Linked DNA regions of Kluyveromyces lactis. The protein of the gene in region 4 interacts with the protein of the main gene of each other region in a pairwise test. Links are inferred from orthologs where the notes say so. Each region holds a gene or a part of one and is shown on either strand. Other genes may lie near its edges. The genes, in order: URB2, RSA3, MAK16 and URB1.

Region 1 (5,304 bases), about 380 kb from region 4:
TGTAGAAGAACATAACTTTATAAAATGATTAGGACTTTTCAATCATCATGCCATTTGCCACTTTTCAATCATCATGCCATTTGCCACTTTTCTTGTAGTCCGCATGTAATGTCTTGAAATATGATCTGCCGTTACTGTCCAAGCTAGCATTAAGCAAGTTCATTTCAGTCTGCGACAGAAGATCAAAAATAGCGTATACTGCGAGCATCAACTCTTTCTTTATCGTGGTGGGATATGGTTTTGAAACTGATAATTTGATGAATTGTAGAAGAACAACTGGCAGATTCTTTCTTAGCGATCTTTTAACATTAGAAACAGCCGAGGACAATGTCGTCTGCTTACTGCTTCTCACATTTGCAGGCTCACAATAGTTACATATGAATCTTGATACTGCTTTCGCTGATTCAACCGATAGAGCGTATTGCTTAGCATCTGATAGTAACTCCAGTAATTGGCAGATAACAATGTTGATCAAATGAGTACGATTGGATAACTTATAACGATGAAATAATAGCAATGAAGAGAGCATATGTGTGCAGGAAAAAATCAGGTCATTTTTAGAGTATGGAATCTTATTTTTGATCTCTCTCTGATCGGGTGTATCAGCTGCTTTGATTATGTTATCCAAAAGAATCTTGGATGTTAGTGGGAAAAGCATTTCTGAACAGTACTGTGTGAATAAAAACGGTTTGGCCACCAGCAGATCATTCAGAAAGGTAATGAAAGATATAATATCTTTTCTGTCTATAATGCTAGTAGAGTAGTTTGTTAAAAGGTGTGAAATTGATTTGACAAAAATATGCCTTCCACTACTATTCTGTTTTGAAACAAAGTGGATGAATAACTGTAGCAGCTCCAATACTGCTCCGGAGTTGCTTGTTGATAGTACAGGCATAGTATTGCAGATCGTTTCGAATGCTGTATTGAAGTCTTCATCGTTATTAATAATTCTCTTGGATATGTTCAATTTTATTGCCTGTAATAACATCTCTTTAGACACTCCATTTTCTCTTAAGATAAGATACTGCGCTAGAAGATATTCAATATTATCATTGTAATTTAGTGTTGATACCATAAAATATGCCGATTGAACTTCAATGTCAGAAGGAATGGCGGATGCCTTCGAAAATAACGGTGGAACAGGAATTGTTGTTTTAGAGTTACTTGCTTGAATGAACAAAACCTTGAGCAGCCATGCAAGTAATTTGAAATCTCCGTTGAAATGCTGAATATTGTAAATCAAACTATTGATGAACTTAACCTTAAGAGCATCTAAATGCAACCCTGATTCATCGCATGTTTTGAGTACCAGATGCAACAAGGCATAAGTGTTATAATCAAAGGTATGATTCAAATTTGCCTGAATGCTTTGTAATAGAGAATCCATGGATGAAGATGCTTTGTTGTCGTTTCTTTGAAGCAGTGCACTCTGCCAAACGGCTGCAATAACCGGATTTTCCAAGCTATATTTGAAGAATGAATTGCCGACAAACGTGAGCATTGTTTTATAATCGGTTTCTATTTTGCTCCTCGAGGTAGGGTTTTTCAAAACATGACAAAGAACATTTATGTCATCCTCTTTCAAAACATCCTTCTCTATTATTTGGTCTAGGATTGCCAATCTTACAGCCTTATTCAAACATTGAATTGGAATTTCCAATAAATACTTCAGATGAAGGTTAGAATTAACATCGGCTGTCAAGTGAACCACTATCGAACGAACAATGTTAGACTCTTCAAAAAAATCCTCTTCAGCGAATAGCACAGGCAAAATATCGATGTGATTTTGAAGTAGTTTTTCGATCAGGTGTGATATGTTCTTATTTCCGAATGATGAATCGACGAGAGTTGACCAACGCGTTAAAAGGGTCTGTAGAATATTTGATAACTCTGCTGAGTCCAGATTACCAATAAAATTCATAAAAGCTTCAATAACAGGTAAATTTTCAAATGGCTGGAGCTCGTAGAACTTGAATAAGGCGAAAAATAGTTCACTACTATGGTATTTTTTTCCAAGATTGATGAGACCTGATGCGTCGTCAGGATTGAACTTCACAGCGATAGGAAGATCATCATATAGTTCAAGAACGTGATATTTGAGTTGCCAAAATACTGGAGCATTAAAACCCTCTATTTCAAAAAGTTTTGAAAGATAAATCCGAAATTCCAAGCACTGCGCATAAGAGAGCATTTTCAATCCAGAAACTATAACTTGTAAAATATTCACTGAAAAAATATCATTCTCAGAAGCAATAACATCTACTAAATCTGTAATGATTGCACGAGTCTGTGTTACAGATAATGCAGGAACATTATCGGAAAGGACCTTAGTCATTTTCGAATCAGTCAAGAATAATGAAGTGGTGTTTTTCCTACAATATTCTCTCCAGATAGTCAAAAGATTTGTAAATTCTCTGGCATTGACATGACAATTGATAATTGAAGTCCAAATTTCTAGCTCAAAATTAGTGGTCGAAGCGTCCATAGCATTCATTAATTCTTCCGTCTTCAAGATACCAATTTCAATGTCCATTTCGATAATGCTCTTAATTATTTTCCAATCTCTGGACTCAAATACGGAAGTGAATAATGACTCTAAAAACGTCTGTGAAATAATCTTTCTGTAGGCATTGAGTGTAGCCAACAAATCTGCGCATATTGTGACATCAATATCTAACAACATTTTTAAAATGGTTTCCAGAGTAGCGGCATCGCATTTACCTGTTGTAATGCACTTTGTGAAAAGCAAAACCAATAAATCTGGGGAGAGGGAACTTTTATGCAAACCTACAAAAGTTTTCAACGCTGCAGGCAAATCCCTTGTGAATTCAAATAAATACCTTTTTGTAAACTCAGATAATACGTCAAAGATGTTGTCAAACACCTCTTCGTCAGCCTGCTTGAAGTATTTCAAACTCGGTAGCAACAGTTCAGAGCAGTACACACCAGAAACTTTATTAGATACTTCCGTAAAGTTGTTCAAATCAGTAAATGTCAAAATTTCTGAAATTATTGCTTGCTTCAGGAAGTTCTCACGACCAAAGTCACAGGAAAGTACGATATCTATGACTCTACCTAAAAGCTTAAGACCTGCTTCCGGAGAGACTGCGGTAATCATACAAGAATTAACAGATTTCAGTACCTCATATACATGCTCACAAAGCTCATGGTCACCGTCCTGCATCTCTTCAAATGTTAGTTGAATTAAATTTACTGATCTTAGATTCCTCAATAATTTTTTCTTATGATTCTCAGACGAAACCATAACCCATAGCTGTTTCCATAACTTCCAAATGTTGGTGTCCTTTCTGAACTGTGCCTGTTTAGCATCATTCCATCTGTCAATGATCAATTCTAATATAAAGATATGGCCATTTGGAAAGTATATATCGTATTTCCCATCTAGTACGGAAACCGAAATGTCATAAATCTCTTGTGTAGTGACGTTCTTCGATCTGAGATACCGAGTGATACCTTCTGCAGTATTGGGAAAGGACATTTTGATTTTCTCACCCTTACGAACGTCGTTCAGAGCTGCTATATCGATATGTAATCTGCTAGGTGATCTCGTTTTACCTCATCTCATCTCATCTCATCTCATCGCTACTTTTAATGTTTGAAAATTGATGTTCAGTAAAATTTGACAATAAGAAATTATACGCAGTTCATTACGGAAGAAAAAGTATAAAGAAAGATGATTTAAGGAGCACTTGGAGATCTCTGATGCGCTTTTTGGCACATGCTGATCTACCGGCATATAAATTTATCATTTAGAGGGGCAACCCATAGCTATACTCGCTGGTTCAGTAGATAAATGTTGGAAGTTCAAGAAGGATAGATGGAATTTCATATGTGGTGTACGGGTGTAACAAGCATCAAATTTTTCTAAGAGATTCGTATATATCACTTTTAGGATATATTTTGAATATTGCAATCAGTAAACATTGAGAGAAAATGAGAATATAGAGACCAATTACGCTCCAAATCATTAAAGGAGTTACGTTCAATCGCTGGATTGGGATTTGTACTGACTGTTAATATAATTTTCTTTTTTGAAACCTTGAGTTAAACTGAAATTTGCGGTTTAATCGCGTGTTTTCACCAAAGAATCATAGCAGTAACAATGGCTAACGATGAATTCGCCGACACACAGGACCTATTAATGGATGTCGATAACCTAGACTTTTTGGACGAAGAAGGTATCAGCAATGAAAGTGATGATGATATTAATCTAACAATCAATGTTGACCCTGTCAGCAATGCACCAATGGTGAACTTCCCTATTGAGCAACCCTCGGCCAAAGAATTACGCTTCAAATACAACAACGTTTCGTCCCGAAGCCTTGCTTTTGATAACTCTACGAAAGATAATAAACTATATCCTGTAAGATTTCTACATTTAGATGAATCTAAAGAATTTGCCCAATATGTATCAAAACTTTTTGAGTTGTATCAGGGATTAGGAGAACATCGCAAGAACGATGTACCGACCATAGGGCTAATAAAACAAACTTCAAGACTCGAACACTTCTCGATAGTTAATTTAGCATTTCATGCCTTGGTTACAGAACTAGAGTTCTACATTGAATCCATCAAATACACGAATAAGCTGCAACGAATTGGAGATCTTGAGGAATGTTTGAGCATACTAAATTGCTTGAAGACAATTTACTTTTTAACTGACTCTCCGGAATACAAACAAGAGGACCTTCTAGAGTCTTTGATCAATTGGGTGAACAGATCAGATGGTGAACCAAGTGAGCTGGTTATTCAAAAGATCTTTGATGAAACCCTTCTGACGCGAAGAAAAGTCTATGAACAATCTGATTTTTGGGACCTAACGGCACAGCTTCTTTTGAGAGGCTTATGGTCTCAGAGTATCCAATGCATTCAAAATTCTCAACTGCTGGAACATGGAAATGAAACAGTGGGAGTATTTGTCACTGATTTGATTACAATCATTGAGAGTTACCCACTTCATTCTGAAAATTTATTCCGTGAATGGAAGAATAGCGTACTCCAATTAATGACAAATTGGGATGAACAAGAGGTTGAACCTGAAATCAAGAAGAATTTGATGAACATCTTCATGATTTTAAGTGGTTCTAAAAATAAAATCTGTGAATTCTCACAGTATTGGTACGAATCGTACTGTGGATTGATGTTGTACTATATACCAACTTTGGAATTGAGTCAAGAATATGGACAATTAGCTACTAAACATAATGCCATCGATGTTTGCAATAACTGGGAAACGCCGTGTTATCACATTATCAATGACAAAGTTGCTGATGTGTTACCGAT
Region 2 (3,667 bases), on a different chromosome or scaffold from region 4:
CCTCAAAGCATACAGGTGGGTTTGACGATTATGACAATGAGGATGATGGTACGTCTGGATTGTTCGGTAAGATTGATCCAAGAGTTATGTCCGATATGATTATCGGACTCAGTGATGGTTTGACGGTTCCTTTCGCGTTGACCGCAGGTCTTTCCTCGTTGGGAGATTCCAAGTTGGTGATTACAGGTGGGTTCGCGGAATTGATCTCTGGTGCTATATCTATGGGTCTTGGTGGTTATTTGGGTGCTAAATCTGAAAGTGATTACTATAAATCGGAGGTGTCGCAAGAAAAAAGGAAATTTTATAGCAATACTCAGCTAATAAACCATGAAATTGAAGATATACTAATGGAAATGAACCCAGAATTCTCGGAAAATACAGTGATATCGTTTGTGAAAGATATGCAACGAGACCCAGAACTTATGGTGGATTTCATTATCAAATACGGAAGAGGTTTAGATGAACCCGATGATAATAGACAATGGATTAGTGCACTAACGATCGGAGGAGGATACTTTGCCGGTGGGTTCGTCCCGTTAATACCATATTTCTTTGTTGAAACGGTGGGAACCGGTCTCCTGATCTCTATTGCATTAATGACTTTCACGTTGTTCTGGTTCGGATATTTCAAATCCCAAGTCTCAATGAACGATTGTACCCTGCAGAAAAAGTTACTGGAAGGCTTACAAATGATAGCAGTCGGTGGGACTGCTGCAGGTGCAGCTTGGTTCTTCGTTAAGGTCATCGAATGAGAGTCACAAATAAAACAAAATTAATTAATCATAATCATCCTCATCATCTCTTATTTATTTTACTTCTTCTTTTAAGCGTTCCCTAGTATCACGTACTTTTTTTTTTATCATTCCAATACGTATTCATATCTTACTCCAAATCATCAATTTGCCGTCCAGACTTTATTTGATTCATTCTAGCTGTATCGTGATAGATGGTTTGTATTTTTATTTTATTATACATGTGTTTTTAAAATGCTAGATAGATCCAAACACTATTTATCCTCTACTATTGTCTTCAAGGTCTCCAAATCAAACATATCTCCTCCGTCTTTTAGAACATTCGCTAGCATGACAAGGGTCTTCGAAGTGAAATCTGGTGCGTTTCTCAATTCGTTCATGTCATCACCATAACTCTCAAATAGCATACTCAAATATTGATTCTTTAATCCGTTCTTGTCCTTATTATTCTCTAGCAATTTATTGCTGCTTTCATCTAACGTAGCAGACATCTTATTCAAATCGATATTCCCTAGATGAATGCCATTGTTGCCAGTTAAATCGCTTGTTGTTAGTCCCACTTTATTTAATTTGTCCACAGTCTCCGAGGACAAGACGCTTCCCTCTTTTCGGCTGGCTTTTTTATCGTCCAATGCAGCTTCATCTTCTTCTTTATCCATGTCAATATCTGAAAGCGTTACATCTTCAACATCAGATGCAGCTTTCTCCACAGTTTCGAGCTTAGTATCATTATCTTCTACCGATGAATTTTCAGAATCGGAGCTGGAATCAGAACTTGAGTCGGACACGTCTTGCGTTCTTCTCTTCTTTCTTCTGTTCTTCCTCTTGTTCGTCTTGCTAATAGCTGCAATATGTCCCTCTGACATGATAGTTTCCGATAGAGCTTCTCGTTAATATGGAGGAGAGTTAACTTTAAAGTATAACTGTCAAAAATTCACAGTTGAAGTCACCTTTTAACAGAAGAAGGATGAGAGCCGATCTCATCTCATCTCATCTCATCGCTTCACATCGTCTAGTTATTTGATGAAGTTTCTTTTGCAGGGAAACAAATTCTGTCTAAAACTCAAAGCCGGGTAACAAACTTATTATTCTACTGATGGATGGCCCTTGACTGGATATGGTATCTATTCAGAGTTGATGCGGTGGGTGTGTTGTACTGTTATATGTATATATCTACATGACGACTAGTGCTATATTTACATTCTTTATAGCAATTTGTCCATTTGAACTAAAGCGTAATCTAAGATATAACTTTCTTGAACCAAGTTATCCATTCTTGAGTAATGTCTCTCTGCGTATGAGATTATTGATTCAACGATCCTTACAAGCCCAGGAATTTCGCTCAACTCTTCAATATTTTGTCTTAGAAGAATACACCTTATCATCTTTTGGGCTACTGTGTGTGTTCTTGCATTTGTATTCCAATCTCTGCACCTTTTCACTAAAAGAAGAAGTTGATCTTTATCTAGAGTCGACACAACCTCGTCAATTTCGTTGTTGAAAACTACATTTGGATCCTCATTTGAGTTGTCTACACTTTGTCTTAAGACGTTGTACAATCTCATTGGGTGATCCAAGGTCATGGCAAGCAAAAATGCGTTAGTCCAGTCACCTTCTGAGAGATAATTTTGTAATGATTGTTCTTGTTCAATCTTCAGTTTCTCTTGCTCGAGGTTACGTTCGTGTTCCTCTTCACTGTTATCCCTCCAGAACTCAAAGAAGCCGTCAGCATCTGCTGTAACGAAGGATTCACCATCGTTCATAACAGCAAGAGCCCAGATACGGTTATTGTGAGCATCTAGTGTCTTGACCGATTCACCAGTTGATAGATCCCAAATAATAACTAAACCATCAGCACCAGTACTTATCAGTTGCTTGTTCTTGTTTATGAAGGAACATCTTTGAACTGCATTGGTATGTCCTTCCAAAGTTTTTACGACGGCATATGATTCTAAGGACCAAATTTTGATGGTCTTGTCACCGGAACATGTGGCCAATAACTTGTCATATTGACAGAATGCAACGTCCCATAGACCACGTTTGTGGTTTGCTAATGTGGCTTGGAATTCACCATCATCCAAATTCCATATTTTACATGTCTTATCGTATGAAGCCGTGGCAAATAGAGAATCATTAGGTGAAATGGAGATAGCATTGATATCCTTTTCATGCGCCCTTCTGGTATATTCTGAGGTCTTAACAAGTATTAGATCTTCGGGTTCATCAGATGTCACCTTAGGAACCTTCCATTTCTTTATGGTCAAATCGTTAGAAGCTGTAATTATGAATTCAGGCCATGAACGTGGCATAACATTAGGAAGTCCAACAGCATTCACAGAACCTACATGACCGACAAATTTAGTGTATGGATAAAAGTCTTCGTACTTTGCATGATATCTCCATAATATAACGCTGTGATCCTTGGATGCTGTAGCAACCCAGAGACCATCAGCGGTGGCATCCAAAGAGTTGAGTAGATCCGTATGACCCTCGTACATCTTTACTTCAATAGGAAATGTTTCTTTGTTCTCCCCATTTTCGAACTCTTCCTCCGAAGAAGTTGGGGTTGGAATTATTCTAAGAGTAGGAGAGTTAGTAGCTAATGCTAATTTATCCCGTTTTGGACCAACGAATCTTATATCTGCAATGGTACCATGATTACCTGCAATCTTATTTTCCACTTCAATTACTTCAGATTCCGATTGTAAAGCTGATTCAACATCTATTAGGAACAAAGTTTGATCTGAAAATACCAAGTACTGCTTAGTTCCGTTCAGGATACATAGTGTACCAATAATAAATAGCTCTTCAATAGGTTTTGCTGTTTTCTTTAATACTCTTCCTGTTGACAAGGACACTAATTGGTAAATGGCACCACCACCGGCTGAGTAAACCACATCCGGGTCCTGCGTAAA
Region 3 (4,181 bases), on a different chromosome or scaffold from region 4:
CTCAGATCTAACTCTTATAATATCACCAACTGCTATATCAATCCACTTTTTCCTCACAAACTCTCCAGATCTTTCGTCCAAAACATCACACAGGGAATGATTCAATTCCTTATCAGCATTCGATCTTTTCAAATCTTCGACACTTTCTTTAACTGCAGAAACAATTAACACTACTAATAGTGTACCAATGGTCGTATATCTATTGGTAGGTGTAACATTAGGTACTTGCTGGATAATGGAGGTGAATAAGAAGAACAAATTCGCGTATTTGGAGAATTCTTGAAACAAAAACTTTGGCAAGAAAGTTGCAGCGTTATATTTCGTCGTAGAGATGTGATTATCTCTGTAGCCGAAACGGCTATTTGCTGAACTATCGTTGAGTAAAATCGTTCTTGGCTCGTCAGACTTACAAGAGGTTTTCCCTTTTCTGAGAATATACCTGTTGAACAAAACTTTGATGTCAAACTTCCTCGTAGAGCTTTCATACCTATTAGTGTTGCTCTGATCGTAGTCATTCATTTCGAAACTTTGGAATTGACCCTTATGTCCACCATTCATACCGACTGCACTTTTCACATTGCTCATAAATCTATTGAACCCACTTGGCTGAGGTAAGACACTATTCCTAGGGTTAGTGTCTGCAAAGGATGCTGAATAACGGTCATTGAAAGGATTTTCAATGTCGTTCTCTATGTTGTCACTGAGGTCAATGGTCTCTTGTGGGAGTAAGCCTCTCTGTGAGGTATCCATTCCTGAATCTATTACTGCACTTGGGCTGTTCCTTCTTGGACTATCCCGTAAATCCGGGGTGTAGCTATCATCAAGAAAGTCAACATCAAACAACGCATCGCTGTCGCCATGCTTAGTTGAGCCACTCATTGGAAAGCAGGTTGATCGGTGTGTCGCTCCTCTCTGGCTCTGTATCTCCCTTTCAAAGTACTTGGGTTTCATGGTGCAAATGGTTTACGAATCTTTCTGTTTAATGTGTCCTAATGGGATTTTCCGGTATAATTTACAAAGAAAAAACTGTCAGCATGGAAACAATATTTCCACGTGACTGCTATTTCGAATGCATTATTTGGGTACAGTATAACAAAATGAAGGGAAAGGGGACATACTATTGATGGTGAGATGCTATTGTAAGTGTATATAATTATTAACTATTGCCTTTGCTTCTTTATCGTAGTTGGAAATTTATCTTCAATAAATATAATAATATGTCAAATTTAATAGTATACAAATGTGGTCATGACGAGCTCTGTTTTTCAGAAACGCATCATTGTGCAAGTTCTTGTTGGTTGGAATTTAGTTCCTGTTCATATTCGATTTCAACCTTAGGATGTCTCTTTCTGGTTTGTGTAGATTTCTTTTGTCTCTTAGATGGGTTTTCTTCTTCATCGCTATCTTCGTCGCTACTGTCTTCGTCACTGTCCTCATCACTGCTGTAATCAGATGTATCAGAACCACCGAGCCATTTTTCTAAATCTTCCATATCTACCATCTCATCCTCAGCGTCTTCATCTTCTACGAATTCGACTTCTCCCTCATCGCTTTCTTCTTCCTCATCCCAATCGTTTTCTTCTTCATCCAAGTCCTCGTCTTCTACACGTCCCATGACCTTCTTCCAGATCTTTTCATCCACATTCAAAGGCTTATCACCATACACACCACTCTTCAATCTCTCAAGCAATTCTTTTTCGATAGCCTTTTCAATCTTAGCGGCTGATAATGCCTTACGTTCTCGGTTCTCTTCTCTTCTTTTCACCTTAGGAGCAATACCGACATAATGTCTCTCCTCCTCTCTCAATGCCAAACGTCTCTCTGTAATCATCACTTGTGTAAGCTTTGTCATCCTTTGCTTACACTTATGAATTAAGAACTTGTTCCAATACAGTAAATGTTCATCGATCTGTGCTAATGCCTTTGTGTAATTCTTAGATAGTTTCACTCTTTCCCACAATTTAGCAGGCGTGTGAGCTCTTTCCGCGGTCTTCATGTACAAGTAAAGTGTTCCGTCCACGTTCTTTACAGTGGCATATTTACTATTTGCCAAAGGACACGCTTGTCTCGAACATAAACCTGTTACGTTGTATTCATTTCTACAGAAGTTCTGTCCCTTATCAGTTTTGACTTTGTACGCACAAAAGTGCTGGTTGATAACCTGCCAAATGATCTCGTCAGACATCTGCTAATGTTCAGTCAATCCTACAGATACTGGTTTATGCTTAGTATGAGTTTATTTAAATTGGTTATGACTATCGCTAAGTTTACTTGCTATTCCGCTAGTCGCTGCTTCTTTCATTTCATCTCATCTCATCGCATCGCATCGATATTTTTCAGTTCTCAAAAATTTTCAGGCAGAAAGAGAAAAAAGAAATGGATTACTAAATTTTTAGTCACATGACCAATGATATTTTATTGTTATAATCGGAAACTTAATCAAGAGTCGGAATATGCATGATTAGATCTAAAGAGATTAACCTTCATTCAAATATGTTCGAAAAAAATGTGGATGAAACTATTTGAAACTGATAAAATCGTGTGTTGATATATATATTATATGAGGTGAAATGAACTGAGACTAACTAGTTCTATGTCAAATACTTTACTCGACATTAAAGAATTAAATTGGGGATTTATGTGAAATTGAATTGATTTCGTCATGGGACAATGATGTGATGTAAACACACTTGCTTAACAACTCATGGTCAATATCAATGTTGTAAAATTTGGACCATTGCATCTTCTGTACGAAGTTTTTCACTATTTGAACATTTGTTTGGAATTTGTTGTAATTTAGCACTTCGTCATGTACAATCCAGGTACGTTTCTCAATGTTTAAAGATAGATCCGATAAGTATACCACGATAAATGGAATGCATCCAGAAAGTGGTTCGACTTCGTCTATTAATTGTCTAATGTTACTGTAATTCTTTTCCAGGGATGGTATGGCCTTCAACGTTTCCCAAGTCAATAGATCGCCTGGTTCGACAAGTCTCCATGTTTCAGTGAATTTCTGAACGACAATGGAGTTTAATGCAAGGATGATTTCCATCAAAGTATTGTAATTTTGTAACTCTTTACAGTGTTCGGCTATGTGAATGAATCTTTGGATCGTGTTCCTTCTCAACCTTATGTCCTGAGTCATTACGATTTCAGAAATGATCCAATCCACGGTCAAGTTGAACCTTGCTATGGCTAAATCGATACCCGACAAGTTTTCGTTCTGTACCAATAATTGCAGCCAACTGGTAAATTGTGGAAGTTGTTCACTCATTGTCAAATCCAATAGATCTTTCCAATCAACTTCAGATAGAATTTCCTTTTCAATCAAGGTCAATTGGTTTGCCACAGATTTAGAATCATACATCAGAATGAACGGGATATGTTGCTCTAAATTGTCTATTTTAAGCCTTGAATCAGTTAATGTGTACTGGTTTAACAAATTACGAATTTGTTCATCAGTATTTTCCAATCTGGTGCAGGAGGAGTCTTTGTCAATGAGTGAATCACGAACGCTAAAATCGATCATTGTGTTGCGTCTTCTCTGTATGAACATGGATTGCCTTTTGCGAGCGCTTTCAGGAAGAGCTGCAGTTTGTACGATTTGGAAATTTTCAACTTCCCGGGCTAATTCGCTGTTAATTGATGGACTTTTATCATCTATTTCCTTTTCCCCTTTATCATACGTCCCTTCTAATTTCATTAAAGCAAGATTAACAGGATCCATAGAAGTATCAGCTGTGTCGTCAATACCATTCATAATGTCCTCTAGTTTCTTTTTATCAATTCCATGATCTTTATTTTCATTATCCTGAGTAGCAATCTCCTCTTCATCTAACGACGTTTGCTCATCAGTTGACTGGTCAATAAACTGTTGTTTTAAATCGTCGAGGTTCTTTTCTGGGGATGCAAAATCTATGCTATCAGTGTCTGGGGAAAACAGGTATTTGTTATTCTCTGGATTCAAGTTTTCAACGTCTTCCTCGAAAATGTCATTAGTTGCCTGTTTTTCTAGATGATATTTCTCTCTCAGAGTTGTGGATTGTGCGCGATTTGGTTTACTAGCAATCGACGTGAGATCAAAGGATTCTTCTGAATCACGACTTCCTATTGACTTTATACTTGGAGTCTCAGAAAGCTTTGAAATAGGTTGTTTGCATAATACTGGCGTAGGGACA
Region 4 (5,238 bases):
AGATGATTTATCGGCTTTCAGCAACAGCACATTATAGTACTCCATTAAAACATCATTCTTAACCCAGATGCTTGAAGAAACTACCTCTAGCTGGGCATTAAGAATGGATGGCTTCACTAATTTCCACAAATCTGCAGATGATTTAGTCATAAACTTCTTAGTTGTTTCAAGAATCTTTGCAAAGCTCTCAGATAACACTGGTTTTTCAGCAAGGTATTTTGTGATGTATAAGAAAAGCTTGTTCAACCACGTCCTCACATTATTGTCCTCATAACGATCTACAGCCATGATGAAGGCTGCACCATCTGCTGTATATTTCATCTTATGTTCGGTGATAAATTTAGTGGCTTGTTCAATATTGCCAGTATCCAATAAGCTGTGGTGAGTGGTTAACAAGGCCAAGGATGCTGACAATTTATAACCTGAAGCGCTGTTCAAGTTTTCCATAGCTATGTTTATTGCTTCCATAATAGCTTCTCTATCTGTTTCCTTCTGCAAATGCGTCGCAATTATAATCTTGGTAGTTGGATCCGGAATCTCTGAGTACTGGTTGGATAGAGAGTTTGTCAACCCTTTAATTCTCATACAAGACTCTATAAAAAATGCTTCTTTTCCGATAATAGATGAAGCTAATTTAGTCACGTCGACAATCTCAATCTTAACAAGCTTGAAATCCAGAATTTGTTGAAGTAATTTCTGAATATCTGAAGTCGCCACTTCGAGGATTTTCGTAAAGATCTCAACATCAACAATGACATTTTCTACTAGACATCTTTGAAGCAACTGCCTACAAACCGTTTCAGAATAATTATCTATCATATGCAAACACTTGATAACATCTTCGGCTGAAACTATTTCGCTTAAAACTCCCAGCGCAATGGTTCTGCGCTGTGATTTTTCAGAAGCAGCAATTGTCTTGAATAAATCAAAGGCATATTTGCTGAATTCATCATACTCAATATCGAGCTGACTATAAATTTGTTGAAGGCCATTAACAACGTATAAGAATAAGTCAAATGAATCGCTGTCTATATTAGGCAACTCACCATCAAACAAATGAGAAAAATAACTTTTCTTAACGACACGTTTCTTAAACTTCATATCACCTAATGCATAATTACCCACCTTGGACAATAGGTTATCAATAGTTTCCTGTACCTGCGTAGAAAGTAAACTGCCTGACATCGTTTTCTTTAGACGGAAAATAATAGCAGCTACATCAAAAGAATTCACAGGGAATCTGCTCATTTTGCTTAACTTCGGGGAATATTGCAACAAAATGTGATCATAGCTAGAAGTTGAATCATTTGAAAACAAAAGGTATTCCGGAGATGATACTTTCTTAATGATCTCGTCAGTAAAGGATAAGTACAATTCGACAAGATTATGAGGTATACTTTCAACGTTAGAAAGTAGATTTCTAATACCTACTTCAGACTCTCCTAGCACCAGCATATTTCTGAAAAATATAAGTAACCACTTGACGATAACTGACTCTTTTGGGTTATCAATTTGGACAAATTTCCATTGTTCAACAAGTGTCAAAAGGAAAGGTGATAGATTCTCATATTGCCTTGCCATATCAACATACTTATACGGAGTCTTATGACATCTAGAAATGGCTTCATCCAATAGTTTCAAAATCTTCATGTGCTCCGAGGTGGAAAAAGAGGAACCAGTACTTGACAAAAGCGATAAACTATTAATTAAAGCTGAAATTGGAGAACTTATTAGCTCTTTCATCTTGAAAATATTACTGAACTGTACCAAATTGAATAGTAAATTCGATATTCTAGAAGTGACGATTGATGAAGCGTTTTTCGAAGATGCGAGCCTTAAAAGCGATGTGAATAGAGAGTTTTCGTTATTTGAGGCATTCCACCACTTGATTTGGGAGTTATTTAGTTCCTGGAACTTCATGAAATTATCAAGGATAACCAAATCCATTCCTGAAAATTGATCACTTTTCATAATATCAACATATATGTTGCTAGCTGGTAAATTGACGTTGAAGAAGTTTGGGAATATTTTACTATAGTAATTGAGGATAACGGTTAAGGACAAAGGTAAAATTTTGTTAGTTGGGGATTCCGTGTATAAGATATTCAAAACTGTCGTCAAAACGGGTAAATCTGGCAAGTACGAAAAATAAGCATTTAAGAGCATTGCCTTTGAATTATCCCATCCCTTTTCGTTGTACAAGTCCAGCACTTTATCCAATTTCTTCAATGAAAATACCAACAATTGACTTCCCATCTGTCTGATTAGATTTACTTTGTTTTGCAGACATTTCGTAAGAGCTGTTTTCGTTAAAGTAGAAGGAATAATCGACTCCACGACAATTGTTGTGGATGGAAGACTATCAGAATCTACTGTTTCGACGTATTCTGGAATGGGAAGATTGATCATTCTACCCAAAAACAATGTCATACCAAACCAATAAGCTGTCATCTTTGGGTCATGTGATCCCATAGATGACACGTACGTTGAGTAAGGAGCCACCAACTCTGGGACGTTACCTAAAATTTTTATGACTGTATTACATTGTGTATCATCTTCCCATGGCTTAAAAAATGTTAATGTGGTGTATAATAACTTGTTGTGTAACTTGAATACCTTCTGGTTAATTACCACAGGAACGCCTGACTTCAAGTTTGAACTATCCTCAAACCAAGAAGTTTTGTCGGTAAATACGACACCAAAGTCCGTATCGCCACCATAGATTTGAAAGAATTCATCTATCAAGGAAACAATGGCTTTATTTGGAGAATAGTAAAACTCATGCAACCTATTCACAACGAACTCATTTAAAATCTTACTCTTGGTCATCTTCCTAAAACTCGTTTCTTTTAGAATGCAATCAATAAATAGATGTAGAGATTCCTCGATAAGTTCAACAGAGTCCATTTTAACCATATTCTTAACCCACGCGGTCATAATTTTCTGATTGTCACTGAGAATATCCTTCCTTAGTACCGCCGGTGCGTTCTTAACTAGTGTTATCCAAAATTTAACGAAGTTGGACCTCATAGAGATGTGAGTTGATTTCCTAGTAGCTTCAATATCTGGGTTATCAAGCTTTCTTGGATTCAAAACCTTCAACAATGCTACCAACGTCAAATCGAAATATGACAAAAATTCATCAACGAACTGGCCTTTATTAAACTGTACAATCTCTGTCATTAACCCAAATACTGAATTCGTTATCGAAGGACGCAGATTATTGATACCTCTGTAAAGAACTTTACAGTAATTATTAAGTATATCACGGATAATAACGGATCCGTATTGCACAACACTGGTATTCGAATTCAAAATGGCAATTAGTTTTTTGAGCTTTATAGTAGTTTCAGCAAACTTAGCATGTTCATTCACCTGTGCATAATATGACCAACCTTGTGTGCATTGCACAGCAAGTCCCTTTTGGAAAAACTCAGCTACAGGGCGGTAATTATTGGAAACATCAACATTGAGTAAATCAATACCGTTGATAAGAATCTGCAGGTCATCAAATAAACCACTGCTCACATTACTAACACTTGGAAGGTTCTGTTTCCATTTCCTTTTTCTGGTCCCTAACATGGAGCCGTCGTCGTTATTCATAGCGCAAACACAATGTAGTTTCTGTTCAAAAAACGCTAGATATTAACGGCTTATATATATTACAATAAACCAGCACACTTTCTTGAAGTTTTAAAATGAACCAATGCTACTGTCTTACATAGATTTTAGTAAAACAAAGTGATGATTGTATATGCCCAATCGATGCGATGAGCTTGATCAACATTTTTTTCTTCCATTCTACGCTAAAAGAAACAAATTTTCCAAATATGACGGGGCGTCATGCGATTTTCACGTGACATAATTAATTAATAGTAACTTATCACCTTGCATATTCCCTCACCTGCTTGTAAGACAATCCATAGTCTTATATATGCTGCTTTAGATAGCTGGGATATGATACATGTAACAATAAGGTCACTCAAGGATAGATATTAGCGTTTATTGTTGCTTATTATGCAAATTATGTACTATTTTTACAAAAGATATAAACAATATCGGTTGACAGAATGAAAAGCTTGGAATTGATTAACATCGATGAGTTACTTCCAGAGTTCCAGAACAGCTTCGTCAAATCTTTAACTTTTCTTCGAAGTACATCGTTTAATTGGATCCACGAAGAGAGATGTTCGCACATAGGTTTTTGAAAGTCTCAAGAAGAGCGTATTCAGAAGTTGCAACCAATGCAACCAACGGCGCAAAGAAGTCCAGATTTGATAAGTCAGCTATTAAACCATTAATTTCACTATTGATATTCGGATCTGTGTTAACAAGTGTTTCAGCCCAACAGCAGAGACATGCTGATATGGTTAGAAGATATGAGATGAAGATTAAGATTCTACAGGATTTGATCGACCGTACGAAGCAAGGCGATTTCAATTACAATGCGGAGAAGGAACTAGAATTAGTTAACAAGCTATTCGCTCGTCATGAGCTGGGTAATTCTGTTGATTTGGAAAGAGAAGCTAAGATGATACGTGAACGTGCGGCCAAAGAGATTATTGATCGTGAAAGGGTAATAAAAGGCATGAATTCACAAATTGAAGAAGAATCACTGGAAGATATCTTTCAGGATATCATGAAAGATATCGATCAACCAAATAGCAGCATCGCAGCTCCGACGAAAAAATTAGATAGTGATTCTATGAAGAAGGGTTCTGACGATATTATTGTAGATAAGGAATGGCTAGATTATGAGAGACAAAGAGAACAGAAAAGATTAGCATTCAAACCTTCTACTGAGAAGCATGTTATCGTAGAGAACCCTGGTGAATACAACATCGCAGCAGAAGAAACTAAAGTCAAGAGATTTTTGTAGGGTGTGCCAACTAATATCTTTGTAATTGGTGAAAATTGTTCACTTCATTTACATGACTTCTAAATGAATATATATGTATATATATATGGTTACAACGAATGAAACGAAATATATCAGAACTTAACTTCATTTGTGACCTTTGTATCATCATGGACCACATCCTTTTCTTCGAGGGGAGCACTGCCATTAGAAGGAGTATTAATTTTGGGTCTCACTTCACTTCTTGGTGGACTCTTTTTCAAATCCTTACGAGGACTTTCATGGGAGTGAGTTGTTCCAGTAGCACTAGATGGTGTAATGGGATTCTTGTTTCCCTTCATCTTATCATTGATAACCAAAGGGATAGATCTCTGAGGAGA

Evidence for each region.
Region 1: the proteins of URB1 (region 4) and URB2 interact in binary tests that used the Saccharomyces cerevisiae proteins (3 or more experiments, as listed by UniProt). The link is inferred for Kluyveromyces lactis from reciprocal best matches to the Saccharomyces cerevisiae genes URB1 and URB2.
Region 2: the proteins of URB1 (region 4) and RSA3 interact in binary tests that used the Saccharomyces cerevisiae proteins (3 or more experiments, as listed by UniProt). The link is inferred for Kluyveromyces lactis from reciprocal best matches to the Saccharomyces cerevisiae genes URB1 and RSA3.
Region 3: the proteins of URB1 (region 4) and MAK16 interact in binary tests that used the Saccharomyces cerevisiae proteins (3 or more experiments, as listed by UniProt). The link is inferred for Kluyveromyces lactis from reciprocal best matches to the Saccharomyces cerevisiae genes URB1 and MAK16.

What each region holds. Positions count from the first base shown.
Region 1 is NC_006041.1:2,001,998-2,007,301, reverse strand, and holds URB2 (ribosome biogenesis protein URB2), read right to left. Parts: upstream 3,500-5,304; coding exon 65-3,499; downstream 1-64. Other genes in the region: GEF1 (Gef1p), read left to right, coding at 1-15; NUP85 (Nup85p), read left to right, coding at 4,124-5,304.
Region 2 is NC_006042.1:1,224,913-1,228,579, reverse strand, and holds RSA3 (Rsa3p), read right to left. Parts: upstream 1,619-3,667; coding exon 1,007-1,618; downstream 1-1,006. Other genes in the region: CCC1 (Ccc1p), read left to right, coding at 1-752; U3 snoRNA-associated protein UTP13, read right to left, coding at 1,958-3,667. UniProt on the Saccharomyces cerevisiae protein: Required for efficient biogenesis of the 60S ribosomal subunit.
Region 3 is NC_006037.1:358,705-362,885, forward strand, and holds MAK16 (ribosome biosynthesis protein MAK16), read right to left. Parts: upstream 2,186-4,181; coding exon 1,277-2,185; downstream 1-1,276. Other genes in the region: aminophospholipid-translocating P4-type ATPase DRS2, read right to left, coding at 1-951; mitotic regulator LTE1, read right to left, coding at 2,624-4,181.
Region 4 is NC_006041.1:1,617,308-1,622,545, forward strand, and holds the start of URB1 (Urb1p), read right to left. Parts: upstream 3,604-5,238; coding exon 1-3,603. Other genes in the region: INA22 (Ina22p), read left to right, coding at 4,187-4,879; DAL81 (Dal81p), read right to left, coding at 4,993-5,238. UniProt on the Saccharomyces cerevisiae protein: Required for 60S ribosomal subunit formation and pre-rRNA processing. Required for normal accumulation of 25S and 5.8S rRNAs.